Elephas maximus indicus: one gene and its partners. The protein of the gene in region 1 interacts with the protein of each later gene in a biochemical or structural test. Links are inferred from orthologs where the notes say so. Each region holds a gene or a part of one and is shown in the gene's direction. Other genes may lie near its edges. The genes, in order: RB1, BRF1, LIN9 and EID1.

Region 1 (7,772 bases):
ATGTGTTACAGAGTAGAACTGCTTCATAGGGTTTTCTTGGCTGCAATCTTTAAGGAAGCAGATTACCAGGCCTGTTTCTTCTGTGGTGGTGCTCCAGGTGGGTTCAAAATGCCAACGTTTTGGTTACTGGCCAACTGGAAACTATCTGTGCCATGCAGGGACCTTTCTAAACAAGAAGTTGGGAGAGAAGTAGCAATTTCCCATACTAACTGCTATACAGTGTTTGTACGTCAATATTTAAAGTTTTTAACATGACAAATGAGTGTGCTTCTTGCTTGTTAAATTACCTAATCTAGGTTTAGATATATCTAGCAGTATATCTAAACTGCTTCTATGTTTTATTCTGATAACACTCAAGTAGAGAAGCCAGTCTCTCAAAGGCATGTTGAAGGGAGTGGAATAAGAGATTTTAAGGCAATTTCAGCAAGTTCAGGACATTCATTTTTAATTTCTATCCAAAATGAAACAAGAGATGCTTTATTTTCAAAATTCATCTCCAGTCCTTCATCAGTAGTGAGTTCCAAAAATTTGCCCTGTAAAGTTACAGTTACATTTAAATTCTGGATCCATGAATTTCCTGTGTGTGGTGATTACTTTGATGGAGAATCAAAATCAAAATGTTTTATCATATTTATGATAATATTTTCTTTATATTTTGTATGTAAATGTCCCTTAAGTTTGATGGATTCATTGCTTCATTAATCAGTCCATGGTTTTAGTACTTAACCAAAAGTTATGGCTACAGACTGAACAGACAGGGGATTATATTTCTGAGTAAAATTAATATAAACTCTTAGCTCTAATTCTTTGGAATGACTTCTCTGATCATTATTTGGTTTACTACTGGTAGTATTAATCCACTAGTGACATCTGTCTTTTCTTGACAAAACAGGCCAATGAGGCTTGTTTCATCATCTACGATTTAGGGTTAAAAATAAATGACACAAATTTTACTTCCCTAATTTAGCTATATATAAATAAAAAAAAGAGGCTTGATTAAAAATTAAAATGACTATAAAAACAACTTATAAAAATGAATAAATATTTACATCTTCATGGATTTTTAACACTTTGGATTACAATTGACAAGCTAACCTTAAAATTTTACTCATCGTAAATGTGGTCCTACTATGCATGACAAGGACACAGCCCTACCACCTGCAACTCACCACATAAATTGGAGAACACCTGAACTGGACTATACTCTTGCTTAGCTATATGCTTAGCAACAGATGTCCAATGATCATGTTCTTGGATGTTGCTGACATGTCAAATTGTCATAAACATTTCTAAGCACTCTTAATTTCTGTATTTATCATCATCTTGTGCAGTAAGGAGCCCTGGTAGCACAGTGGTTAAGAGCTACAGTTGCAAATCAAAAGGTTGACAGTACGAATCCACCAGGTGCTCCTTGGAAACCCTATGGGGCAGTTCTACTCTGTCCTATGGGGTTGCTGTCCATTCAACCAGTTCCTATCCCTTTCTGCCTTCTCATCCTGCCTTCCAACAGGAGCTGCCCATTTAGTCCCATGTATCTACTTGAACTAAGAAGTAAAACTCTTTGAGTATTATTTTATGTTTTATAGTCCGGTCTAATTTTTGTCTGAAGAGTTGGCTTCAAGAATGGTTTTAGTTCAGGGTTAACAGAGAAGTCCAGGGGCCATGGCTTCGGGGGTTCCTCTAGTCTCAGTCAGACCATTAAGTCTGGTCTTTTTATGTGAATCTGAGTTCTACATCTCCTTTTCTCCTGCTCCGTCAGGGACTCTCCATTGTGTTCCCTGTCAGGGCAGTCACTGATGGCAACCAGGCACCATCTAATTCTTCTGATCTAAGGCTGATAAAATCTCTGGTTTATGTGGCCCTTTTGTCCCTTGGGCTAACATTTTCCTTGTACCTTTGGCGTTCTTCATTCTCCTTTGCTCCAGGTGGGTTGGGACCAAATGATGCATCTTAGATGGCTGCTAGCAAGCTTTTAAGATGCCACTCACCGAAGTGGGATGCAGAACATTTTCTTAATAAATTTTGTTATGCCAATTGACCAAGATGTCCCCAGAAACCATGGATCCAGGCCCCTGCCCCTGCTACTCCGTCACTTGAGAAAACTTCTTTTAATAATCTATAGAACCTCTAACACTTCTTTGTAGTACAACAGAAAGCTGTGTAATGATTTTATTTACTCAAGTACTTCTGAGTTGTGTGTGAGGAAATCATATCTTAAAGCTACTCAGAAACATGGTAAAAGGAGTCCAAGGCAAAGATACACATCCTTTTGTAAATGGAGAAACCTCTCTTTGACTTATTATAATTGTGGTAAATCCAGATGTTGATGTAAACTGGGTTTAAATAGAGCAAGTCTACATATGTGGGGAGAGTTTACTTCAGTTCCCAGAACTTCCTTCAGTTCTCCTACCTATGCTCTCCACTCTCATTTTTAACAAATAAGTATCTACTGTGTGTCCAATACTGTGCTCAGTACTAAGGCTACAAAAATGCCTGAGATTTGGTCTCTATCCTGAAGTAATTCACAGCAGAAATATTATCAGTCATGATGCTTTCTGCTGCAAACAATCATGCAATTCAGCTCCAGGGTGTTCAAATCAGAAGCTAAGTTATGTCACCAAGGACCCAGATTATTTTCTTTTGATATTCCTACTGCCCTGTCCCCAGCATTTTTGCCTTATCCTCCGGTCTGCTGCATAGGTCACAATGGCTACAGCAACTACAAGTGTCATATCCTTATGACAACAGCTAAGGAGTAGAAGAGCTGTCATCTCTGTATCCCATTTTATCAGCCTTCCAGAATATTATCACCTTTCATCTTTAAAAGGTCAAACTGTATCCTGATCTGCTGCCTAAACTAGTTGTGGGCAAGATGAATGGGACTACCATTTTAATTGTATTCACTCTCAGTGGCCTGGGCCCTACCTCCTGACAAAGTCTTGGCCCCCAAGGTAGGATCCGGGGGGACTGTGTGTTGGGTAGGCCAATGCTTGCTAACCTTTTTTACATTGTGGCACATGTCATGGTCTACACAGAAAATGATAATCCATTGCACTACTCACTGGGATAAACTCACGAGACTTGCATCTATGACTTACCTGAAGGCTCCTGCTGCCTCACATGCTGCCCAGCTTTCCAAGAATGAGGGAATGTACATCAGAGCACAACTATACTTTATTCAAAGTACTTCAGTTGGGAAGTTCTGAGATGGGCAATCAAAAGTATCTGCCAAAGGAAGAAAAACATGTGCTAAAACTAGAAAATCAATTATAATAAATCAATACCAGGAGACAGAAAAGATACAGCTTCTAAGCCAATGTTTGGCGGCGATACCTCCAGAAAGCTTTTCTTCTGTTGATTTTGTGCCTGTACACATGCTATTTCTCTCTTTTTGGTGTTTTCTTCACCAGTATAATGTAACAGATAAGTCATAGCAAAATTACCTAGGTTCAAGTCCTCTGCTCATCAGATCTGTGATATTGGGAAAATTAATTAAGTCCTCTGAGCCTCATCTGAAAAGTGAATAATACTATCCATTTTAAAAGGTTGTTTCTGAAGATTAAATGAGATAATTATGTAAAGTGGCCAGCACATTTCCTGGGATCCAGCAAGTCTTCCTTAAATTTTAGATCAAGCTGGCAAACTTCTATTCAACTGCTACTTCTCCTCTGAAGATCTCTTTTACACATTTCAATGGTTCCTCCTGACTTTACACCACCATTAAGACTCAAAAAAATTAATTAAAAATAGACATTTTACTTTAAGAAATTTCTCTTACCCACACACACACCCGCAAGTATAAAAATACTTGACCCAAAACTGATCTTGCCTGCAGCTTCACTGGCTTGTTCTTTCACCCCAACTTCAACTTTGCAGCATGGTTAAACTTGTTTATCCCCCCAGCTAGAAGACAGCAGTCAATAAGAAATCAATCACCTTGTGATTTAATGAAAAAGACTGTGTGCTTCCTTGATTTTAATTTCAAGAGCTCTCAACTATAAATATGTAAGTTAACTCAGTAATCATTATTTCATCACAGTGGAAACTTGTATTTATCAAACAAAAATTTTTAAGTCTCTGTGAAATCTCCATTCTCTGGGAGTTTCTTCTTGCAGGAAGAGAATGTTCTCCCAATTTGAAAATTGTTTGTTAAATCATAGACCAATCAAATATTGTTATTCTTTTGAATTGATACAAAATCTTATTTTTAACGTTTATAAACAGTTTATAAACTGTTTACTTGTTCATTACCCACAGCCCCCTCCCTACCCTAACCAGTGATCCCCAAAAGGCCAATAATTGTCCTACATTTTGTTTCCCCCAGTGCTTGGTAAACTGGAGCACCGATTAGGTGTTCCAGAAACGTTTGCTAAAGGGATAATCGGCGGTGTTTTTGTTTTGGTAGACTGGCTTAACGGATTGGGTGGGCGAGGTCTCAGAAGAGGGAGGGTACCGCCCATGGAGAGAGGAGGCGTGACAGTGTAGGGTGCGCTTGCCTGATAGAACTTACAGGACCTGAGTGACAGTCCCTGATCAGACCCAAAGACAGAGATGACAGAGATGGGGCCCAATTTTGCCCCACAGACTCTTTTTGTTGCCCTATTACGGGCACCTCAGCCTGGAAGGAGAGCTACAGGTAGAAACAGGTCCCAGCAGCGGCGGCTACCTCAGGGAGGGCGCCTCCGCCAGGCCTGGTCTCCCGGCCAGCCCCGCTCGTCCCTGCGCCCCCGCCCGCGCGCTGCCAGGCGCCCCGGTGCCCGCCAGACGCCGGCTGGCCCGGGAGCCTCGCGGACGTGACGCCGCGGGCGGAAGTGACGTTTTCCCGCGGTTGGACGCGGCGCTCGGTTGCCGGGCGGGGAGGGCTTGTCCGGTTTTTCTCAGGGGACCTTCAAATTATTTTTGTAACGGGAGTCGAGAGAGGACGGGGCGTGCCCCGACGTGTGCGCGCGTCCCCCGGCCCTGCCCTCCTCCACAGCTCGCTGGCTCCTACCCTGTGAGGGCGTCATGCCGCCCAAAACTCCCCGAAGAGCGGCCGCTGCCGCCGCTGCCGCTGCCGCTGCCGCTGCGGCTGCGGCTGCGGCTGCTGCTGCGGCTGCCGCCGCCTCTGTGGAACCCCCGGCGCCGCCGCCACCGCCCCCTCTCCAGGAGGATCCGGAGCACGACAGTGGCTCCGAGGACCTACCTCTGGCCAGGTGAGTGAGCAGAGCCGCCCCCGCAGAGCGAACGCAGGAAGGGAGCCGAGGGGGCTTCGGGACCGGCGCCGCGGCATCTAGGCGGGGGCGCGTCTTTGCCCCGGATCCCGGTCCCGGCGAAAGAGGGTCCCTCCTTGCCCCCCACCACCGCGGAGGGTCTGGAGGAGGGTGACAGGGCTCCGGGATCCGGAGCGAGGGGAGGACAGCCAGGAGGGGTCGCGGCTCCAGGTTGACAGGTGTTGGGCGGGTGGGGCTCGGTTGGCTGAGCGAAGTGACAGGTGCTAGATCGGAGGCTGGAGGCGGCGGGTCATTTCGAGCTCCCATCAAATGCAAAAAATGACTGACGCGCGTGTGTTGAAGAGGAAGCGAGTTTTGTTCTTGTTAAATTGGTAGTACTCCCGTGCTCTTTGGCTTTCTGTTTGGTCTTCTGCGACGCAAGAGTTCCAAGTGTTCGCTTCTGGGTGTGCACTGCATCCAAAGCCCCATGCTGCGAGAGGCCGACCAGAAACGCCTTGGACGCCGCTGCAGGAGACGCCATCGGACCTTAGCGCAGGGTCCTGGGTGCCGGTTGTCCACAGGGTGCTTTGAGGCCTTGGGGTTCAAAGCCAGCTGTAGTAACTGGCGAAACAGAATGCTTTAGAGGAACTGGGCAAGTTTTGTGAGGCAATTTAGTGTAAGTGCCTAAAAGTTTCTAAACTTCTTTTTTTTCCTTTTGGATAAAACTCCTTGCAGGTTAGTCTGCCTCAGCATGTGCCATTATTTCTTCCATTTTGTTTTTTGACTTTACAATCAGGGATCTTGGTGACGCTTGTTTCTTTGTTTTGTTCTGTTTGTTTTTGGTAAAAAATTGGCGATGCTCTTGTGCTAACATCGAACTTTTTTTTTCCCCCCCTAAGTGAAATCTAAATTTAAGCAAGCCGTGTGGATGCGGTAGAATATGACAAAGAGCTATTTGTTGGATTGCAACATTTTATTTTTCTGGATTGTGATACTTTACGGTTAACTAGCTAAGACTGAAAAGTGCATATTTGTCCTTATTCCTTATTGTCAGCACTGGTTCTCTTTCAGGCTCTTTGTATACAGATCCATCGTAGGGGAATGGGACTGCTTTCTTCCCTCACCATTCCTTCTTCCATTCTGGTCCATCACCAAGTTCTGTTTTACCCTCACTGAATTGTACATATCTTTCCACTTCCCAGCCACTAACAGAGTTCAGGCCAAATTGTAAAAGATTGAAATGACCTGTGGAAGGATATTAAAAATTCATATATTTGAATGAACTGTCATATGGGTTAACTGAAAATCATACCTACTAGTTTAAAAAAAAATCCTTGGGTGGTGCAAACGGTTAATGGCTTGGCTGCTAATCGGATGATTTACTTGCAAAAAATTAGCTGATGAAAATGCTATGGAGCACAGGTCTACTCAGACACACATGCAGTTGCCATGAGTCAGGAAATCGACTTAACAGCTTAGTAAAAAACAAAACAAAAAACAGGCCTGGGGGATGTTTTGGAAGAAGACATCACACTTTAGTTTTTGATTAAACTCTAATGTGCCCAATACCTGAAAACTATTCTTTGGCAAGAGCAGTAGTATTTACTTTAAAAAATTCAGTGTTATCCATATAACTTTGAAAGCATTCTTGATTATTTTGTGATAATTAGAAATATTGAAGTTCTGACCATCACCTGGGAAAAGAAGAAATTTGTTTCTTTCATTCTTTTTTCCCCAACACATTATTTTATATACCTTTAAGTGATGGAATGATAAAAAATTCTTTGGGAACTCAAACCCTTGTACTTCAAAGCCATGCAAAATACAGTCTGCCTTTGATTATCCGTACTCACAATGGATTCCTTAGCATCTTCAATCAGACTCTACAGATTAACAATTTAGCAAGGGTAGGACCACAGCCTGGCAATCTGAGGCTGAGTAACCTGAGGCTGAGTAACCTGCTTAGGGATGGATTCAGGGCTCAGCTCTAACTGCATTCCCAGCAAGAACCATTTCTGCCCAGAGAGTTGAGATCACATTCTGTTGCATTTATCTCTGGCCTAAATGATGTGGTGGAAACCCTGGTGGCCTAGTGATTAAATGCTACAGCTGCTAACCAAAAGTTTGGCAGTTTGAATCCACCAGGCGCTCCTTGGAAACTCTATGGGGCAGTTCTACTCTGTCCTATAGGGTCGCTATGAGTTGGAATCGACTCGATGGCAAAGGGTTTTTAAATGATGAGGCTGGAAGGGAAACTGTCACTAGGAACAGCATACCACCTTCATTGTTGAGGTTATCAGATGTTAATTATGTTTTGAAAAAGGAGCTGGCAGTATAGAGTAGTGGTCAAGAGCGTGGATTATGGAGTTAGACTGTTGGGTTCATATCCTGGCTTACCACTTAGTACTGGCAGTGAGCTCAGGTGAATGCTTTAACTTCTCTGATTTCGTTTATTCTTCGGTAAAACAAGGATGATAAGGGTCCTTACATGGTAAGGCTGATGTGGAAATTCAGTGAAACCATGACATTTAAGGACTTTCTACAGGGTCATAGTAAATACAGGTAGTTCCCAATTTACGAAGT
Region 2 (7,377 bases), on another chromosome or scaffold:
TACATCTACAGCTATATCGCATCTGTATCTATATCTATGTATAACCAAATTACAAATACGGGAAAATGCTAAATTTTGATATAGCCGAGCATCACAGATTGAACTGTGTCCCCCAAAATAATGTGTGTCGACTTGGCTAGTCCATGATTCCCAGTATTGTGTGATTGTCCACCATTTTGTCATCTGATGTGATTTTCCTGTGTTGTAAATCCTCTCTCTATGAAGTTAATGAGGTGGGATTAGCAGCAGTTATGTTAATAAGGCACGACTCAATCTACAAGATTAGACAGTGTCTTAAGTCAATCTCTTTTGTGATATAAAAGAGAGAATTGAGCAGAGAGACAGGAGTATCTCATACCACCAAGAAAGCAGCACTGGGAGCATAGGGCATCCTTTGGACCTTGGGTCCCTGAGCTGAGAAGCTCCTCAACTGGGGGAGACTGACCACAAGGACCTTCCCCTAGAGCCAACGGAGAGAGAAAACCTTCCCCTGGAGCTGACACACTGAATTTGGACTTCTAGCCTCCTAGACTGTGAGAGAATAAATTTCTCTTTGTTAAAGCCATCCACTTATGGTATTTCTGTTATAGCAGCACTAGGTGACTGAGACACTGTCCACTTGTGGTATTTATGTTATAGCAGCACTAGGTGACTAAGATACCGTCCACTTGTGGTATTTCTGTTATAGCAGCACTAGGTGACTGAGACACTGTCCACTTGTGGTATTTATGTTATAGCAGCACTAGATAACTAAGATACTAATGATGGTACTTTTGGTGTATAAATGGCATGGGGGCAGCGTCTGACCTCCTCTAACTTCATAAGGGGAAAGGAGAGTCAAGATCAACAGCCCAAGGCTGATTCCTATGAGGTGGAGGTCAGACATGCCTCTTCTCTCTGCCATCTTTACCGATTCTGACACCAACCGTATCCCCCATGGCACACTCTGCTTCTCTGCCGGGTTCAATAATCCATTGCAACACCCACACGGAACTCACAGTAAGTTAGCAGGTTTACTAAGGAAGCGACAGGTTACGGGAACTCACAGACTGTACTCACAGTTAGCGGGTTTACTAGGGAAGCAACAGGTTACGATTCAGGTCCAAGAATCCTCAGCATACAGTTCTTCCTTCAGGACAGACCCTTCTCAGCCGTGCCCGCAGGCAGGCATCCCTCTGGCCCCTTGGCCTCTGCCCTGCTCAAACAAGTGTTACAAAGCTCTTTTAGCTCTGCTGATAAGTATCCCAAGGAATCCCACTCCGCCGGGAACCCTCGTCCTGACGGTGCTCATCTCTGGTTCCTGGGTCAGCAAACCTAGCCCCACCAAGTGCCACGTTACAGGTCTCTCTCTCTCTCTCTCGGTCTGGTTCCAGTAGCTTCTCCTTGCAGTGATCCTAGGTCCAAAGGACTTGCTCCGCTCCTGGCTCTTCTTCCTAGGTGGTGGTGAGATCCTTATTCTGCTCCGGAGTTGGTCCTCTTTTTTTTTTTTTTTTTAATAACTTTTATTAAGCTTCAAGTGAACGTTTACAAATCCAATCAGTCTGTCACATATAAGTTTACATACACCTCACTCCCTACTCCCACTTGCTCTCCCCCTCTTGAGTCATCGGTCCTCTTTTAAGCCTAGCAGGATGGCAAAACTGCCTAATTCCTTTGGTGGGTCACAATTACCCTATTTGCACAGTCCCACCCAGTCACTGGCCACTTGCTATAGAGTTGTTGGAGCCCTGGTGGCACACTGGTTATAAGCTACCTCCTCTGCTTCTTCCTCAAGTGGACCTGGTTGTGAAGCAGAGATGAGGGTCTGTGTTTGGACTCTTCACAGAGATCACAGAGACATGGAAGGTAGCAGCACAGGCCACTTTTGCTGCCTACAACTTCCTCAATGCCTCAGGGGTGAATAGTAACATTTCTTTTCTCTGAGGTCAGAGATTTATTCTGCTCCAGGGTCAGAATCTCCCTTTGAAACTGTTGTTGTTTCTAGCTGCCAGCTCATAGCAACCCCATAACCCCATGTACAGCAGAACAAAACACTGATCCTGTGGCACCCTCATAATTGTTGATAGTGGGTGGGGGTTACAAGACCACAGCGAGAAAGGCCATACAAAAGGGATCTGTCAAACCACATTTGTTATTTTCCTATTTTCCCTCTACTTTAAGGTATGCTGTAAATATTTTACTAAAGAATAAAAAAGAAGAAAAAGCCATTAGTTTAGGCTTATTCAAAGCAGAGAATCTCTCCTGGTTTCAGCCTCCTGGGTGGCATTGCTTGGTTTTATGGCCCACCGGCACACATTTTCTGGCCTCACTTCCTTGCCCACCCAAACCCTGCATGAGGGTGGCTGGGACCTGGCATTAGCAGGGGGCAGAGGCTGCACTCTCAGGAAGGGGCTCAGATGCAGCACCCCCTCGTGACAAATATCCGTTGGGGATTTAAAATATTCTCTTACATTTCATTGTCAAACCTGTCATTTTGTTTTTTGCTTTTAGCTCCTAATGTCACTGGCATTTTTTATTTTTGGACTGCGTGAGGTAAGGATTCAATTTACCCTTCCCCTCCAAATGGAAAGTCAGTGTCCCAACACTATTCAAGAGTATGTCTTTTCCTCCCCGATTTGAGGCCTCCCAATTTCCAGGTGGCGTCCCTGTGTGGTGCAAACAGTGAACATGCTCAGCTGTTAACCGAAAGGTTGAAGGTCCAAGTCTACCCAGAGGCATCTTGGAAGAAAGGCCTGGCAACTTACTTCTGAAAATCAGTCATTGACAACCCTGTGGAGCACAGTTTGACTCTGACACACATGGGGTCGCGATGACTCCACCAAACCCACTGCCATCCGGTCAATTCTGACTCATAGCGACCCCATAGGGCTTCCAAGGAGTAGCTGGTGGATTCAAACTGCTGACCTTCTGGTTAGCGGCCATAGCTTTTAACCACCGCGCCACCAGGGCTCCAATGACTCCATAAAAAAATACCTGGGTTTGTTGCTGGATTCTTTGTTTTACTCTACTTGCCCTGTACAAATACCACGTGCTTTTGATTGCTACCAGGTGACGTATATTTTTTGATATACAGAAGGGCAATTCTCCCCTTCTTGAGTTTTCTCTTTGAGAATATTTTTGACTGTTCTTGGAGATGACCTCTTTCAGATGAATTTATCATCAGTTCATCGAGGTCTTTGAAAAATCCTGTTGACATTATGACGGCTTACATCGATTTTATAAACTGACTTGGGAAGAACTTCCGATGTTATAGCTTTGTTTGGAGCTGGGAAGGGGCGTTTTTCCGATTTTGTCTCATCTTCTGTATGTTCTCTAATGAAGCTTTAGAGACTTAAAAAAATGTAGCTTTGCACACTTCTGTTTGGGTTCATTCCCAGGAACTCCCTGGGTTTTGTGGCTCCTGTGGAAGGAACGCGCAGGTATTTGCGGGCGTGCGTCGAGCAGGGTCCACTCTGGGCAGGTGACCAGGAGCCCGCGAGTCCCAGGTGCAATGCCGGCTCGCTGACCGGGCGGCCGCGCAGGCACCGCCAGGAGGCGCAGGAGCTGCAGCTGCGGGGTGGCGCCCTCGGACCGGGGTCTCCGAGGTCTCCCCGGGGAGGAGCAACTCCCCGGCCCCGCCCACCAGCCCGTCCCGCCCACCTATCCAGGTCCTGCCCACCACGCTCCCGTCCCCGTCAGGCCACGCCCACCACTCCCCTTCCTGGCCCGGTCCCGCCTGTCACTCCAGGGCCCCGCCCGCCACGCTCCGTCCGCCGGCCCCTCCATCACGCCACGCCCCCGTCCAGGCTGCGTCCACAGCGCGCCGCTGGTTTCGGACGGGCCGGGTCCTCACAAGTCCGGCCTGCCACCTCAAGGCCCCGCCCACCACTGGCTCTCCTGTCGTTCAGCTTGCTCGTCACTCAAAGGCCACGCCCACTTCTCCCGACACCCCGTCCCACCCCAAGGCCCCGCCCACCACTATCTGCCCAGTCAAAACCAGGCGCCGCTCCCCAGACTCCGCCCATCCCGCTAAGGTCCCCGCCCACCGCTGTCCACCCGGTCCCAATGAAGTCCCGCCCCCGGAGGCCCCGCCCCGCAGCCCGCCTCCCTCCTTCCCCCAACGCTAGCGCGTCGGCCGCTGGCTCGACTGGCCTGTGGGTCTGAGGCCCGGCGGCCGCGCTCGGGCTCGAAGGTCACGGGTTCGAGTCTTTGTGTCCCCGTCTCGGCCCCCGGCTCCGAGCGCGTCCCCGCCTCCCGGGTGTGGCCGTCTCGGCCCCGGGGCGCGCGGCGAATCTGCCGCTGCGAATCGGCGGGCGCGGCGGCGGCGGCGGCGGCGGCGCGGGAGCCTCGCGAGACTGCCGGGCGTCGGGGGCGCGCGGCGGGCCTGGCGGGCGGCCTGCGGGCGGCGGCGGCGAGCCGGGCTCCGGGGGCTGCCGGCATGACGGGCCGCGTGTGCCGCGGGTGCGGCGGCACCGACATCGAGTTTGACGCGGCGCGCGGGGACGCCGTGTGCACCGGCTGCGGCTCGGTGCTCGAGGACAACATCATCGTGTCCGAGGTGCAGTTCGTGGAGAACAGCGGCGGAGGCTCCTCGGCCGTGGGCCAGTTCGTGTCCCTGGACGGTGCGTCCCGGGCGGGCGGCGGGGCGGCTGGGCAGGGCGGCTGGGCGGCCCCCGAGGCTCCGCGGGACCCCGGACCCGGCCCGCGCGATGGCAGGCCCGACACCCCCGGGCGTCTGCGGGGCACCTGGCGCCGCGAGGGCGCAGCGGCGGCCGGAGGGGCTGCGGGGCGGGGACCCGGGGCGAGGGCCGCGGCCGGAGCGCAGGCGGAGGGGACCGGACGGAGCCGGTCCCAGCGCAGAAGTTGCGCGGACAAGGGGAGCGCGCGCCGCCGGGGGCCGTGACAGTCACGGGGACGGGAGGTGGGGACGACCCGACGGGCAGGCGCACGAGCGGTGCCATGGGCTGGTGGCTGGGAGAAGCTGAGGTACGTGCCCCCAGCGCCGGGAGTGGGACGTGGGTGCGAGGGCACCGCTGCTTTAGGTGAGGAGCCTCCTGGAGCCCGACGCCCCTTGGGCCCTTTAAACCCTATGCTTGTGTAACTCTGGCTTTACAGGAAGAGGAGAAAACTGTGGCCTGGGACACAGTGGATATGAGCCTGTGAGTTTTTTTTTTTAATTGATATACAGTAAAATCGAGTTTATTTTGGTATAGAGTTCCGTGAGTTTTAACACATTTATTTCTAGGTTCTGGTAACCACCGCAATGAGGATAAGGAAAAGTCCCGTCACCCCCACCCCAGCTCCTGCTGTCCCCTTATCGTCTCTCCCTTCTCCAAGCCCTACCCTGATCGGTTCTCCATCCTACAGTTTTGTCTTTTAAATGGAATCAGGCAGCATGCAGTCTTTTGGGATTGGTCTCTTTTACTGAGCCCGGTGCCTTTGAGAGTCACCCAGGTTGTGTGCATCAGCAGTTGGTCCTTTTTGTTTCTGAATAGTAACTTTCGCTGGTGTGAGAATCCTGGGGTGGTCTAAATGGTTAGTGCACGAGGCTGCAAACTGAAAGGCTGGAGGTTCTAGTCCAGAGGTGCCTGGGAAGAAAGGCCTGGCAATCTGTGTATACCTGTATGTAGGTATTTAACTTTACGAGAAACTGTCAAACGTTTCCAAAGTGGTTGTGGCATTTTGCATTCTCACCGGTAGCACTGTTTTTTCCACAGGGTATTGTCAATATTTTTTTGTTTTAGCCATTGTAATGTGTATAGAGGAGCCCTGGTGGTGCAGTGGTTAATAGCTATGGCTGCTAACCAAAAGGTCACCAGTTCAAATCTACCAGCCACTCCTTGGAAACCCTATGAGGCAGTTTTACTCTGTCCTGTAGGGTCACCGTGAGTCAGGATCGACTCGATGGCAACGAGTTCATGTGTATAGGAGCCTGGGTGGTGCAAGTGGTTTGCCATCAAATGCCAACCAAAAGGTTGGTGATTTCAACCCACCCAGCAGCTTCATGGAAGAAAAGGCCTGGTAATATGGTTCGGTGAAGACCAAAACCCTGTGGTGCAGTTCTCCTCTCAACACATGGGGTGGCCATGAGTCGGCCCAACTCGATGGCAGCTAACAGGAGTAGGTGTGTCAGGGGATCCCGTCATGGCTCTGGTGTACATTTCCCTAGCGGCTAGCGATGTCGGCCGTCTTTGCACGTGCTGGTTTATCGTCCCTTCGTGGTTTTGATGAGCATTGGTGGTTCAGTGGTAGAATTCTTGCCTTCCATGTGGGAGACCCGGCCAGGACACCTTATGCACAGCCAGCACCTGTCTGTCAGTGGGGATTTCGTGTTGCTAGGATGCTGAGCAGGTTTCCAGAATGGAGCGCCCAGGCTGATGTGGGCGAGGAAAAAAAGCCTGGCCGTCTGCTTCCAGAAATCAGCTAATGAAAATCCTGTGGATGACAACAGCTCGGTTCACAGCCGATGGTGGGGATGGTGTAGGACTGGGCAGCTCTTTGTTCCGTCGATGGCAGCTAACAGCCACCACCACCGCTATCCTTTTTGGTGAGATGTCTGTTCAAGTCTTTCGCCCATTTTTTAATTGTTTTTTGTTTTCTTAAGGTTGAGTTTTGAGAGTTCTTCATATATTCTAGTTACGAGTTTTTTGTTGGATATGCGGTTTGCAAATCTTAACTGTCTTTTGCAGAGCAGAAGTTTTTAATTTTCATGCAGTCCCATTTTTTTTTTCTTTTATGAATAGCGCTTTTGGTGTCACATCTAAGTAGTCTTTGCTTAAGCCCAAAGTCACAGAGATTTTCTTCTAAAAGTTTTACAGCTTTAAGTTTTACTTTTTTAGATCTATGATCCATTTTGAGTTAATATTTGTATAAGATGTGGGGTGTAGGCTGAGGTTCATTTTTGTCGTATGTTGTTGTTAGTTGGTGTCAAGTTGATTCCATCTCACAGCGACCCCATGTGTGTCGGAGTAGAGCTGCTCCATATGGATGTCCAGTTGTTCCATCATCATCTGTTGAGAAGACTAATTCTTTCTCCATTGGATTACTTTTGTTCCTTTGGTAAAAATCAACGGGCCATATTTGTGGGGGTTTACTTCGGGGCTCTCTACGCTGTTCCATTGCTCAGTGCCAATTCTTTCGTCAGTATTACGCGTCTTGTTTTCTGTACTTTATTTTAGATTTATACCCAACATTTATTTGGAGCTATTGTAAGTGATACTTTTTAAAAATTTCAATTTTCAATTATCTGCTGCTTTTTTTTAGTAGTATATAGAAATAGGTTGATTTTTGTGTGTTGATCTTATTACCCGTGACTTTGCTAAACTTATTAGTTCTTGGAGGTTTTTTTTATTTTAAAATTTTTGATCCCTTGGGAGTTTTCTGTGTAGATAGTCATGT
Region 3 (6,995 bases), on another chromosome or scaffold:
AACAAAAGACCTAAATGGATGTCAGAAACTCTGAAACTTGCTCTTGGACATTGAATAGCTAATGCAAAATGAAAAAATGATGAAATAAAAGAGCTGAATAGAAGATTTAAAAGGGTGGCTCGAGAAGACAAAGTAAAGTATTATGATAACATGGGCAAAGACCTGGTGTCTTAGTCATCTAGTGCTGCCATAACAGAAATACCACAAGTGGATGGCTTTAACAAAGAGAAATTTGTTTTCTCACGGTAAAGTAGGCTAAAAGTCCAAATTCAAGGAATCAGCTCCAGGGAAAGGATTTCTTTGTCAGCTCTGGAAGAAGGTCCTTGTCCTCAATCCTCCCATGGTTGAGGAGCTTCTCAAGCACAGGGACCCCAGGTCCAAAGGTGGTGCTCTGCTCCTGGTGCTGCTTTCTTGGTGGTACGAGGTCCCCCACTCTCTGCTTGCTTCCCTTTCCTTTTATCTCTTGAGAGGGAAAAGGTGGTGCACGCCACACCCCAGGGAAACTCCCTTTACACTGATCAGGGAGGTGACCCCTGATCAATCCCACTCTAATTGCATTAACATAAAATTACAATCACAAAATGGAGGACAACCTCACAATACTGGGAATCATGGCCTAACCAAGTTGACACATATTTTTTGGGGGACACAACTTAATCCATGACACCTGGAGATAGAAAACCAAAAGGGAACACGTTCAGCATTTCTCAAGCTGAAAGAACTGAAGAAAAAGTTCAAGCCTTGAGTTGTAATACTGAAGGATTCTATAGGGAAAATATTAAATGACACAGGAAGCATCAAAAGAAGATGGAAGGAATACACAGAGTCACCATGTCAAAAAGAACTGGTCAACATTCAACCACTTCAGGAGGTACCACAGGAGCAGGAACCAATGGTACTGAAGAAAGAAGTCTAAGCTTAAGGCATTGGCGAAAAACAAGGCTCCAGGAATTGACAGAATACCACTTGAGATGCTTCAACAAACGGATGCAGCAATGGAAGTACTCACTTGGCTATGCCAAGAAATTTGGAAGACAGCTACCTGGTCCACTGACTGGAAGAGATTCATATTTATGTCTATTCCCAAGAAAGGTGAGCCAAACAAATGTGGAAATTATTAAACAGTATCATTAACATCATAACAAAACAAGTAAGTAAAATTTTGCTAAAGGTCATTCGAAAGCAGCTGCAGCAGTATATCGACAGGGAACTGCCAGAAATTCAAGCAGGATTCGAAAGAGGACGTGGAACCAGGGATATCATTGCTGATGTCAGATATCCGGATCCTGGCTGAAAGCAGAGAATACCAGAAGGATGTTAACCTATGTTTTATTAACTACGCTAAGGCATTAGACTGTGCAGATCATAGCAAATTATGGATAACATTGCAGAGAATGGGAGTTCCAGAACACTTAATTGTGCTCACGAGCAATCTGTACACAGATCAAGAGGTAGTCATTTGAACAGAACAAGGGCATACTGCATGGTTTAAAGTCAGGAAAGGTGTGTGTCAGCATTGTATCCTTTCACCATACCTATTCAATCCGTATGCTGAGCAAATAATCTGAGAAGCTGGACTACAGGAAGAAGAACAGGACATCAGGATTGGAGGAAGACTTATTAACAACCTGGAATAGGCAGATGACACAACCTTGTTTGCTGAAAGTGAAGAGGACTTGAAGTACTTACTGATGAAGATCAAAGACCACAGCCTTCAGTATGGATTACACCTCAACATAAAGAAAACAAAAATCCTCACAGCTGGACCAATAAGCAGTATCATGATAAATGGAGAAAAGATGGAGGTTGTCAAGGATTTCATTTTACTTGGATCCACAAGCAACACCCATGTAAGCAGCTGTCAAGAAATCAAAACAGGCATTGGGCAGATCTGCTGCAAAAGACCTCTTCATGTGTTGAAAAGGAAGAGGTCACCTTGAGGACTAAGGTGCACCTGACCCAAGCCATAGTGTTTTCAATTGCCTCATATGCATGAGAAAGCTGGACAATGAATAAAGAAGACTGAAGAACTGAGGACTTTGTGGTGTTAGAGAAAGAATACTGAATACACCATGGACTGCCAAAAGAACGAACAAATCTGTCTCGGAAGAAGAGCCAGAATGCTTCTTAGAAGCAAGGATGGCAGGACTACCTATCACATACTTTGCATATGTTATCAGGAGGGACTAGTCCCCAGAGAAGAACAACATGCTTGGCAGAGGGTCAGCGAAAAAGAGGAAGACCCTCAATGAGATTGATTGACACCGCGGCTGCAACAATGGGTTCAAGCATAGGAACAATTGCAAGGGTGGCGCAGCACCGGGCAGGATTTTGTTCTGTTGTGCATAGGGTAGCTATGAGTGGAAACCGACTCAAGGGCACTTAATGGCAACAATTTGAGAGGTGGAAGCTTCCTGTTCCTCCATCTCTGTTGATACTTCCTATTCAGTAGTAGCGGTAGCAGCAGCAGTAGCTAACGTTTGAGTCAAAACGAGTGCTACGTACTATTATAAAGGCTTTACATCTATGAAATCATTTAACCCTCACAACAACCCTGTTATTATCTGCATTTCACAGATGAGAAACTGAAGCATGGAGAACTAAATTAAGAAACTTGGTTCCAGATTACACAGCTAGCAGCCGGAATACCAACCCAGGCCTTCCAAACCTGTGCAGCCACTAGTACAGACATCTCTCTCCTCTCCTGTGCCTGCCCCAACAGGCTTCCTCCTGACTGGTTTCTAGGACTCTCATCTTGTCCCCTGCCAATCCATGTTCCATATTTTTGTTCTAAAACACAAATGGAACCATGCTACCAAAGACTTCTCTGCGTGCCTCCAGTGCTCTTGGCAAGTCCAACTCCTTAGCCTGGGCTGGCATTTGTGTACGATTCGGTCCTCATCTTGGTCTACCATTTTTTATTTCCTGGAATTCATCCATCCTGTATTTTCACTGTTTGTCTCCCTTCCTCCCCCACAACCTCCTTCCTCCAGAAGTTCCTGGAAAGGACTGGAGCTCGGTAACATTTAAGCGAATTGTTGAAAAGCAGCGGTGGTTTATCACTGGACAGTTTTACAGACAGGAATTGTGAAATCATTCTCTGGGCTTCTTTGAAAACGGTGAATCCTCATCCAGGAGTCTCTCCAAGTTTTGATCAGGGTACTCCATCACCTTGTAGTATCACTATTGGTTTCTGTCTGTATCCTCAGGAAACCTGTTATTCATGTTATTCGTGTTGTAACTCTCTCCCAGCTCGCTGTATGAGCCAGGGCAGAATGGATGAAGGCGCTGAGCAGAACGATTCGTAGGGGCCGGCCTAAACGATTAACTTCATGACCTCTCAAGGTCTCTCTCCTAGGCTCCGTGCAGCGCAGGTTCCAACAGTCGGGAGGAGGTCCCCGGCTCGAAGGGGGCCGCAGGGATCCCGAATTCTGGGCGGACACTGCGAGGCAGCTGCGGCCTGAGTGCACGAACCACTCCTCCGTAAAAAAGAGTGGATGAAGGCGCAGGAGAAATGTGGGTTTTGGGAACTCTGAAAAATACACTCCGAGTGGAGCCCCTCGGGCAACGTGACCGAGAACCAAGGGCTTCTCTGGCCACGCCAGGCCCACAGGTGCCTCCTCCCGGCCCCCGCCTCAGCCTGCCGGGGCCTCCCTCCCACCTTCCCTTGCTTTCCCCTCCTTGGAACACACAGCTTGCAGTTCCCGCGGCTGCAGCGCGAGACAAGAAACGCGCGCCGGGAGCGAGCCCCGGAGGGGGCGGGCGGCGCGGGCCAGGAGTGGGGCCCGGGCGGGACTCGGGAGCTCGCGCTGCTCCCCCCGCGCTCCGGCGCCGGGCCCGGGCAGGGGAGGTGCGCGACGGGCCTCTCCGCGCCATCTCCCTCCTCCCGCCCTCCGGCCCGGCCCGGGGCGCAGGCGGAGGGGCGAGGCGCGGCCCCACCTCCCGGGGCAGGCGCGGGCGGAGCCCGGCCCACCTCAGCCCGCCGCGGCGGGAGCAGCGCGGAGCGGCGCCGAGGGCAGCGAGCTCGCATTCGAACCTCCCTCGCAAAGACAGTCTCCGCCCCACAATGCACCGCGGCGGGCAGCCTTTGAAAAAGCGGCGCGGCTCGTTCAAGATGGCGGAGCTCGACCAGTTGCCTGACGAGAGTGAGTAGCACCTCAAAACACCCCCCCTTCTTCCTCCCGGCCGCCCGCCCCGAAGCTTTCCGGCCAGGAGGGGCCGCCGTGCCCTCCGCCGGAGGGGGGACTGACTGCCAGCCCCACCGTAGTCCTCCTAGTCCCTCCACTCCGGTGTTGCCGCCGTGTCGCCGCCTTTGTTATGGTGTCTGTGTGTAGGTTTCTGGGGTTGTGTGAGCGCCAGGGCCGGAAACCGAAAGCTCAGGAGTCCAGCCTATGCCGGGAGGAGGCGGCGGCTGCTCCCCTGGCCGGACTCGGGCCACCCGGCCGAGGTGGAGGAAGAGCGGCCCCGGTGCGCGGGGGCTGCCCTCGCCGCCTGCACCAGTCACCGGGCGCGGAGAGACGCCTGCCGGGGTTATGTAACTCGCCTGTCCCGGGGCCGGGGAGGGTTCGCGCTCGGGAGGGGGTGGTCACAACCCCGGCTTCTTGCCTCAGCCTCTGATCTTGTCCCGTCTTAGTTCCTGCCTCTATGGGCACTTGTGATCGTCCCTGTCCCTCCTCCCCACCGGTGTGTCCACCTCTAGAAGTGTTTCCGTGTCAAGAGGCTAGCCCCTTCCCCTGGGACCACAGGTGGCTGTGGACCCTTCCAGAGGTAATCCAGACTGGATACACAAGCATTCAGGTAGCCTCCATCCCACAGACTTTCCTCTGTGTGTGTGTGTGTGTGTCCTTAAGAGTCATGGGAGTACCTTGTACACAGGGATGTGACCAACACAGCATACATATAGTACTCTTCCTGACACCCGCCCCTGTGCAGGGCTCACTAACCATGACTACTCTGCCATCCATGGGATCTCTGCAACATACCAGCTCACATGTGTTTACTAAGTAAAAGCACCAACTCCATAGTTCAAAGCACAGTGGAACTTCATTTTGTAATTTTAAAAATCGCACAAGTTATGTAAAAAGGCAAGTATTTTAGCAAAGTACAAAAAAGGTCCTGAGTCCACACTCATTATTCAGTTTATGTGTATGTATCATTCGTCAGAGTTTTAGTATAATAAAAAGAAGGCTCAATCACTGTAAAATCATTTGTGAAAAAGGCAAATAGGCTTAAAATGAGAGCTATATACAGCCAATTCTGTTTTCTTTATGGGGTTGTATATCCTTAATGCGCTATAAAGTAAATAAAAAGCTCAAGTTGTAGTGAAAAGTTGTATTAAAAAGAGTTTGTGTTTTTAATTTGCTCTAGATCAGCGCTAAGTTCCAATAGAACTTTCTCAGTGATGGAAATGTTCTATTCTGTGATGTTCAATAGGGTAGCCACTAGTGACATGTGGTTATGGAGTACTTGAAATGTGGCTAGAGGGACTGAGGAGCTGAATTTTAAATTGTTTAATTAAGCTTAAATAGTCACATGTGGATAGTAGCTCTAGCCTGTTTGTGAGTTTTGTTTCTTGATTGGAGAATACAGTTCATTGTGACTTAGGATGCTACCAAGTAAGAATGGGCCTACTAAGCACAACCTAGTTCTTATCTGGAAAAAGTTTTTTTTTTTTTTTCTTTCCATCCTCATCATCTTTACTGTAAAGATGACTTACCCCTTTTAGAATTTTTCTTTTTTTGGTAGTCATTCTGTTGAATAAGAGGTATTGTAAGTGGCTTTCAGTATACCTCTCATTTGGAATATTTTGCTTCATCTACATCATCAAATATTTATTGAGGACTTCCTATTGTTCTTTGAAGGAACCTGGGAGTCATGTCGTTGTTAGGTGCCATCTAGTTGACTAGTTGATTTTGACTCATTGCGACCCCATGTGACAGAGTAGAACTGCCTCATAGAGTTTTCTAGGCTGCAATCTTTATGGGAACAGATTGCAGCTCCACTCTCAAGCTGTATGACCTGATCATTTTTATTAGTTTGTGACATCTCTGGTATATTGTGTGTATGTGTTGTATAACTTGTTGAAAGCAGGGATTGCCTTACCTGGTTTGTCACACTGCCCTGAATCAAGTATACAGAAGCACCTCATTTATATGAAGAGGCATTATTAATGAAACCGGGCAGGGTCTTGAGAAAGAAAAGAGATTTCGGTTTGATACTGGAAATAACAAGTTTCTTTGCCAAGTTTAGGCAAGGCGACTAATAAAAAATATATTAGCTTAAAAAAAAAAACCATTGCCCCTGAGTTCATTCCAATTCATAGGGACCCTACTGGACAGAGTAGAACTGCCTCCTAGGGTTTCCAAGGAGCGCCTGGTGCATTTGAACTGCCGACCTTTTGGTTAGCAGCCGTAGCTCATAACCACTACACCACCAGGTATTAGCTAATAACCAACATAAAATTACCAACAATAAATGCTGCCATTGAGTACTTGCTGGGTACCGACACTATGCAAAGCATTTTACATATATTTGTTTAACCTTATTTCACTTGAGGTAAGTACTTTTTTAAGAGTTTGATTTTCTGTATGAGGGAACTGAGGCTATCTTCAGCCCAGATCTTTCCTCTAAGCTCTTGCACTTAACATCTGTTACCTATTTCACATCTTCTCTTAGATGCCTCAAAGGCCCCTCAAACTTCACAGGTTCAAAATATAACTCATAACCCCACTCCAGGACAGAGATAATTTTAGTGGTTTCTCTCTTAATGAAAGCTCTTTTATTTATCTGGTAGAGGTCATCTTTGGCACTTCCCCCTTTCACTTCCCATATTTAAGCCTTTACTGTAACTTTTACCTTTTAAATGTCTCTCAAATCTACCTACTTTTCACCATCAGCCTAGCCCAAATTGTCACCATCTCATCTGATCACTTCAGCCTTCAATTAATCCAACTCTTCCAGGCACCGTGCACACCCCTCCCCCCCCCACACCCTCG
Region 4 (7,088 bases), on another chromosome or scaffold:
AATTAATGTAATCCATCACATAAATAAAACAAAAGACAAGAACCACATCATCTTATCAATTGATGCAGAAAAGGCATTTGACAAAGTCCAACACCCATTCATGATAAAAACTCTCAGCAAAACAGGAACAGAAGGGAAATTCCTCAACATAACAAAGGGCATTTATACAAAGCCAACAGCCAACATCATCCTAAATGGAGACAGTATAAAAGCATTCCCCTTGAGAACATGAAACCAGACAAGGATGCCCTTTATCACCACTCTTTTTCACCATTGTGTTGGAGGTCCCAGCCAGAGCAATTAGGCTAGAAAAAGACATAAAGGGCATCCAAATTGGTAAGGAAGAAGTAAAACTATCTGATCGTACACACAGAAAACCCCAAGGAATCCACAAGAAAACTACTGGAACTAAAACCAGACTTCAGCAAAGTGTTGGGATACAAGATAAACACACAAAAATAAGTTGGATTCCTCTACATCAACAAAGAGAACTTCAAAGAGGAAATCACCAAATCAATACTATTTACAGTAGCCCCCAAGAGGATAAAATACTTAGGAATAAATCTAATGAGAGAAGTAAATGACCTACACAAAGAAAACTACAAGACATTACTGCAAGAAACCAAAAGAGCCCTATATAAGTGGAAAAACATACCTTGCTTATAGATACCCAGTATCCAGTGCCCTCGAGTTGATTCTGACTCATAGCGACCCTTATAGATAGGAAGACTCAATATTGTGAAAACATCAGTTCTACCCAGAGCCATCTACAAACACGATGCAACTGCCATCCAAATTCCAACGACATTTTTTGATGAAATGGAGAAACAAATCACCAGCCTTATATGGAAAGGGAAAAGGCCCTGGATAAGTAAAGCATTACTGAAGAAGAAGAACAAAGTGGGAGGCCTCACACTACCTGATTTCAGAACCTATTACATCGCCACGGTAGTAAAAACAGCCTGGTACTGGTACAACAATGGATACATAGACCAATGGAACAGAATTGAGAATCCAGATGTAAATTCTTTCACCTCTGAGTAGCTAAAACTTGACAAAAGCCCAAAGTCCCTTAAATGGGGAAAACACAGTCTCTTTAACAAATGGTGCTGGCACAACTGGATATTCACCAGCAAAAAAATGAAACAAGACTCATACCTTACACCATGCACAAAAACTAACTCGAAATGTATCAAAGACCTAAATATAAAATCTAAAACGATAAAGATCACGGAAGAAAAAAATAGGGACAATGCTAGGAGCCATGGCACATGACATAAACAGAACATAAAACATTACTAGCAATGCACAAACACCAGAAGAAAAACTAGATAACTGAGAAAAAAAAGACTTCACCAAAAGAATAAAAAGACTACCTACAGACTGGGAAAAAATTTTCAGCTATGAAAATTCCCATCATCATCTAATCTTTAAAATCTACAAGATACTGCAAAACCTCAACTACAAAAAGACAAATCACCCAATTAAAAAATGGGCAAAGGATATGAACAGGCACTTCACTAAAGAAGATATTCAGGCAGCTCACAGATACACGAAGAAATGCTCACGATCATTAACTATTAGATAAATGCAAATCAAAACTACAATGAGAAACCATCTCATACCAACAAGGCTAGCATTAACTCAAAAAAATGCAAAATAATAAATGTTGGAGAGGTTGTGGAGAGACTGGAACACTTACACACTGCTGGTGTGAATGTAAAATGGTACAACCACTTTGAAAATCAATTTGGCGCTTCCTTCAAAAGCTAGAAATACCATACAACCCAGCAATTCCACTCCTTAGAATATATCCTAGAGAAATAAAAGCTGTCACAGGAATAGATTTATGCACACCCGTGTTCACTGCAGCACCGTTCACAATAGCAAAAAGATGGAAACAACCTAGGCGCCCATCAAATTATGGCACATTCACACAATGGAATACCATGCAACGATAAAGAACAATGATGGATCTGTGAAACATAATATGGATGAATCTGGAAGGTATTATGCTAAGTGAAATTAGTCACAAAAGGGCAAATATTGTATGAGACCACTATTTTAAGAAACCAAGAAAAGGTTTAAACAGAAGAAAACATTCTTCGATGGCTGGAGGGGCGGAGGGAGAGAGGTATTCACTAACTAGATAGTAAACCACCAAAACCGACAAGAATTATCTTAGCTGAAGGGAAGGACAACACACAATACAAGGCAAATCAGCACACTGGACTGAAACAAAAGCTACGAAGTTTCCTGAATACAACCCAACACTCTGAAGGAGAGAGTATCAGGGACAGGGGTGTAGGGCCATGGTTTCAGGGCACATCTAGTTGCATAACCAAGTTTATTAAGAAAATGTTCTGCATTCCAGTTTGGTGAGTGGCGTCTGGGGTCTTAAAAGCTTATGAGCAGCCATCTAAGATGCATCAATTGATCCCAACCCACATAGAGCAAAGAAAGATGAAGAACAACAAAGACACTAGGAAAATATTAGCCCAAGAGACAAAAGGGCCACATAACCCAGAGATGCTATCAGCCTAAGGCCAGAAGAACTAGGTGGTGCCCAGTTACCACCAATGACTGCCCTGACAGGGAACACAACAGAGAGTTCCTGAGGGAGCCGGAGAAAGGCAGGGTGCTGAACTCAAATCCACCTAAAAAGATCTGACTGAGACTGGAGGAACCCCGGAAAACAGGGCCCCTGGACTGTTAACCTAGAACTAAAATCATTCCTGAAGCCAAACCTTCATGCAAAGATCAGACTGGACTCTAGGACATAAAATGATTGCTGTGAAGAAAGTGCTTCTTAGTTCAAGTAGATACAGGAGACTAAACGGGCAACTCCTTTCCAGAGGCGAGATGAGAAGGCAGAAAGAGATGGCAGCTGGTTGAACGGACACAGGAAAGCCGGGGTGGCAAGGAGGAGTGTGTGACACATTAGACGGGTCACAGAACAATGTGTGTATAAATTTTTGTATGAGAAACTAATTTGAGCTGTAAACTTTCACTTAAAGCACAATCAAAAAAAAAAAAAAACAACTCAGTGGAGTACAGGTCTACTCTGACACACACTGGGCGGCCACAAATCAAAATCAACTCTACTATAGCAACTGATTTATACATACCCTACAATACTGCCTTTCCACTCCTAGGTATTGACTCTAGGGAAACACTGGCACATTGGATAAATGGTTATAATATTTTAAAAAATCTAAAAATATTTGCCCATTGTTAGGTCAAGTATAGCATATCTATCCAATAGAATGCTGTGCAAAAATAAAGTGGTATGTGTACGCATACTGACGAAGCTAAATTGTCCAGGCTTTTTTAGAGGACGTTACGTGAAATATGTAAAAACGCACACACATAGAAAATAATATATTCTCCAAAGGGACATAAAGATCCATATACATGCAAAAAGTGGATTGGAAGAACACACACCGAATTGATATTCGTAGAAAGTTACCTCCTGGAGAAAACGACGATGAATTTTTCTTCAGTGGTACTTAGGGAAAACCCAATACACAGGTACTTACTCTTTGTGAATTTAAGGTATTTTTAAGTGACGAAAACAGAAAAGCAGAACGCATACATAAGCTAGATCAGTGGTCGAGAATACAGTCTAGCTTGGAGAAGTAGGAGTCGGATCGACTCCACGGGGTGTGTGTCTGTGTGTCTGCGTGTCTGTGTGAAATGTGGCGCTTAAACCCAAGGCCGCGAACCCTTGAGAACAGCTGTGATTGCCTGGGGACGGGGGTTGGGAGGAGGAGACGCCGGAGGAGCGGGGGGAAGAGCGGGAGGAGGGTGAAGTGCTGTCACGAAGGCAGCGGGGCGTTCAACTCCGCAGCACCACAAGCGGCGGAACGGCTAAGCAGGGCAAAGACAGTCGTGCCCCTGCACGCACAGTCTCTCGGTGTGAAGTTCGAATCCACCGACGCGCAGACGTCAGGCCGCTCGGACTCCCAACGTTGTCTCCGAAGACCCGCCAGCGGCCCCCACCCCAGCAGCGCCCCAGGCGGAGGCGGCAGCCGCAGAGCCGCGCATGCGTACGGGGCTACGCACCCGCAGAGCGTTTGCGCAAGCGCAGCGCCGCGTCTCTCCGCGCTCGCTGGGGACGCTTGGCTAGCGTGTGAGCGGCTGCAATCATGGCGGAGATGTCCGAGCTGTCCGAGCTGTACGAGGAGAGCCCTGACCTGCAGATGGACGTGATGTCTGGCGACAGCGACCCTCCGCAGATGGAGGTAGGCAGCGGGAGCCGCGAGCCGTCGCCGAGCCCCGCCCGCCCCGGGGCCGTGCCGCAGCTGGAGGAGGAAGGCCCGATGGAGGAGGGGGAGGCCCCGCCGATGGCCGGGGCGGCGGGCCTGGCGGGCGGGCGCGGCGGCGGGGAGCAGCCCGGGCCGGCGGCCGCCGACGGGGAGAGCGGGGACGAGGGCGAGGAACTGGACGACTGGGAGGACGACTACGACTACCCCGAGGAGCAGCAGCTCCGGGGTGCCGGCTACAGGGTGTCGGCGGCCCTGGAAGAAGCCAACAAGCTGTTCCTGCGAACGTCCGGAGCCAGGGAGGCCGCCCTGGACGGCGGGTTTCAGGTGCAGTACGAGAAGACCCCGTTTGATCAGTTGGCGTTTATCGAAGAGCTCTTTTCCCTGATGGTTGTCAATCGTCTGACCGAGGAACTCGGCTGTGATGAGATGATCGATAGGGAGTAAGCAAAGGCTGGTGGAAGAGGGAGGAGAGACCCAGCATCCCATTATTTTTTGGGTTCATTCGAAATAGCTCCGTGCCAATGCAACACTTGATCTTCAAAAACAAAAAACATTGTGTTCATTTTGTAGAAGAGGATAGGACAGTGACTGCACAGTTGTGAGAAACGAAGAGAATCGCCAAGAAGGAAGGGCCTGCGGACTGTTGAGAAATGTTTTCAAGAATGCCCCGAAACACCCATGCCTTTGACTTTGCTATTAATCCAGATTGTTTCCCTTGTGTTGGGAAAATAGCTTTCATATCGGCTGCACAGCAAGGGATGGCTTTGCAAGAACAGGGAATGACCAAGACGAACTGCCAGTAAAAGAGCCCACTGATAGTACCTGTCTGATGAGAAAGAACAACGAAAATGTCCAGCGTGGGACACAAGATGTCTTTGAATTATTTGGACTGGAAGCCTATTGAGAAAACTTTGAAAATTCTGATTTTGTGACCTATTCAAGTCGTAGTTATCAAACGCTAAATTATTACTGTAACATAAATTGAGTTGTTTTCAGTATCTCAAAAAGATGAGCAAATCCAAAAATATCACATGTGCTGTATCTTTAAATGTGTTTCCAGAGCATCTTAATTTTGTTTATATATGTATCTTGATCATTTATAAAGCTACGATGGTCTATACAAGAAAATCCATGTCGTGACCACTTTAAACGGTAAAAAATTAAGACCTCTTTCATTAACAATTTTAGACAGTATGTTACTGAAAGTACAAAAAAATAATTTCTAACACTCTTATACACAGGGGAAATTTCTGTTTTGTTCCTCTCTCACTTAACAGGCAAAAGATTTTAGTTGAAATTAATACTATAAGAACTGTGGGTGCAAATTGTAACGTAAGAGGAAAGTTGTACATCTAAAAAAATTGAACAATTATGTTATTAATCTTCTAAAGGTTTTAAACCTGCCCAGAAATCCACTTCAGTATCTGAGGTTTCCCTCTCTCTCCTCCTCTAATTAAGCTTGTTATTTGTAATGCACCAGCATTCCAGATAATAAAATTTCTTGTTCTGTGTACTTTGTTTGGCTAATAGTATTGCACTTTTTATTGTATGAATTACTGCAACCACTTAATGATTTAAATTTAACCAGTATTTATAAGGGAAAGCATCCAGCTTCAGATACCTGATGCACAGATTAAGTTGTGGAAAGCAAACTGAGTAAATTAAGTATTGCCAACCTAGGAAAACCTGCAGTGTCAGTGAGCATGCTGCTGTGTTTATTAAGATCCTGAAGTTCCAGGAGGAAAAACTGTTAGAAGGCTGCACCCAGTAAAAACAGGATCAGCAGGCTCTGTGATGACTAGTAAAATTACCTGATGTTCCCGCTTCACTAGAGCGATAAAGGCACGTCCAGTACCACAGGACAACTCGGCTTTATTTATGTTAGTCACCCTGTTCTTTGGGAAGGGGGTTCTTTTCTGTAAAATATAAGACTGACCATTAAGTAAGGATGGTCACGATCACTCAAACAGTAGCCTGGTGGGGTAAGGAGAGGGGACAGACAGGAGGTAAAACATTGGCGTTTATACATTTTAATCCTGCTGCCTCTCAGCTCTTCCACTGCTTTCTCAAATAGCCTGTAGCTGCAGTCAAATGCATCTGTAAATGATTACGCAATATAAATTAACAGTGCTCTGAAAAAAAAAAAAAAGAATGGCAGTACACAATAAACGCCAGTTGCATTTACCTCCAAATAAAGGCTCAGGAAAAAACAGCTGTGCGAACTGGGAGGTTATGCTTCTTTTTCCCTCTCAGACTGAGCAGGGAGCAAGGAGGATGGGGAGAAAACCCACATTCCCTGTTGAGTTTGAAGACAGCTTAAGAAGAAAGACCTGGGCTCTGCAACTGGTTAGTGGTTTTAAAAATAGGAAGTAACCTGAGAGACCACTGAAAATGATTAATATTTACTGAAGATGGAAAATGGCAACATTTTAACGCCCCTTTTAGGGGTGTAAAAATCACATTTCTTTTAAATTTTGGAGTTCTCACAGACTGGAATCAGAGTACTTGGTTCAAATTTGGGCCCCACTACTTACTGGGTCTGTAACTGGGTAAGTTATTTCTCTACTTTAAAGTCCTTAACTGAATATGGGTGTAATAATTGCATGTACCTTATAAATTGGCCATTTAATGGAAATTAAAGGTGTTCTGAGGAAACCATGGTCCTGATTTGGGGGACGGAGTGGGTGGAAGGAACTCGGACAACCTTATGAGTGCATAATATGATTTGGGGAGGGTTTTCTACACCTATCCATAACCTATTCAAGCCGATTCTGACTCCTAGCAACACTACAGGACAGAGTAGAGCTGCCCCGTAGGGTT

The links.
Region 2: the proteins of RB1 (region 1) and BRF1 form a complex in vitro, tested with the Homo sapiens proteins (2 studies listed by BioGRID). The link is inferred for Elephas maximus indicus from reciprocal best matches to the Homo sapiens genes RB1 and BRF1.
Region 3: the proteins of RB1 (region 1) and LIN9 form a complex in vitro, tested with the Homo sapiens proteins (2 studies listed by BioGRID). The link is inferred for Elephas maximus indicus from reciprocal best matches to the Homo sapiens genes RB1 and LIN9.
Region 4: the proteins of RB1 (region 1) and EID1 form a complex in vitro, tested with the Homo sapiens proteins (5 studies listed by BioGRID). The link is inferred for Elephas maximus indicus from reciprocal best matches to the Homo sapiens genes RB1 and EID1.

Annotation. Positions count from the first base shown.
Region 1 is NC_064832.1:30,645,431-30,653,202, reverse strand, and holds the start of RB1 (retinoblastoma-associated protein), read left to right. Parts: upstream 1-4,750; 5' UTR 4,751-5,004; coding exon 5,005-5,192; intron 5,193-7,772. UniProt on the Homo sapiens protein: Tumor suppressor that is a key regulator of the G1/S transition of the cell cycle. The hypophosphorylated form binds transcription regulators of the E2F family, preventing transcription of E2F-responsive genes.
Region 2 is NC_064828.1:119,542,379-119,549,755, reverse strand, and holds the start of BRF1 (transcription factor IIIB 90 kDa subunit), read left to right. Parts: upstream 1-4,367; 5' UTR 4,368-4,417; coding exon 4,418-4,601; intron 4,602-7,377.
Region 3 is NC_064842.1:15,977,143-15,984,137, reverse strand, and holds the start of LIN9 (protein lin-9 homolog), read left to right. Parts: upstream 1-3,973; 5' UTR 3,974-4,066; coding exon 4,067-4,145; intron 4,146-6,995. UniProt on the Homo sapiens protein: Acts as a tumor suppressor. Inhibits DNA synthesis. Its ability to inhibit oncogenic transformation is mediated through its association with RB1. Plays a role in the expression of genes required for the G1/S transition.
Region 4 is NC_064828.1:6,458,829-6,465,916, reverse strand, and holds EID1 (EP300-interacting inhibitor of differentiation 1), read left to right. Parts: upstream 1-4,065; 5' UTR 4,066-4,148; coding exon 4,149-4,712; 3' UTR 4,713-6,912; downstream 6,913-7,088. UniProt on the Homo sapiens protein: Interacts with RB1 and EP300 and acts as a repressor of MYOD1 transactivation. Inhibits EP300 and CBP histone acetyltransferase activity.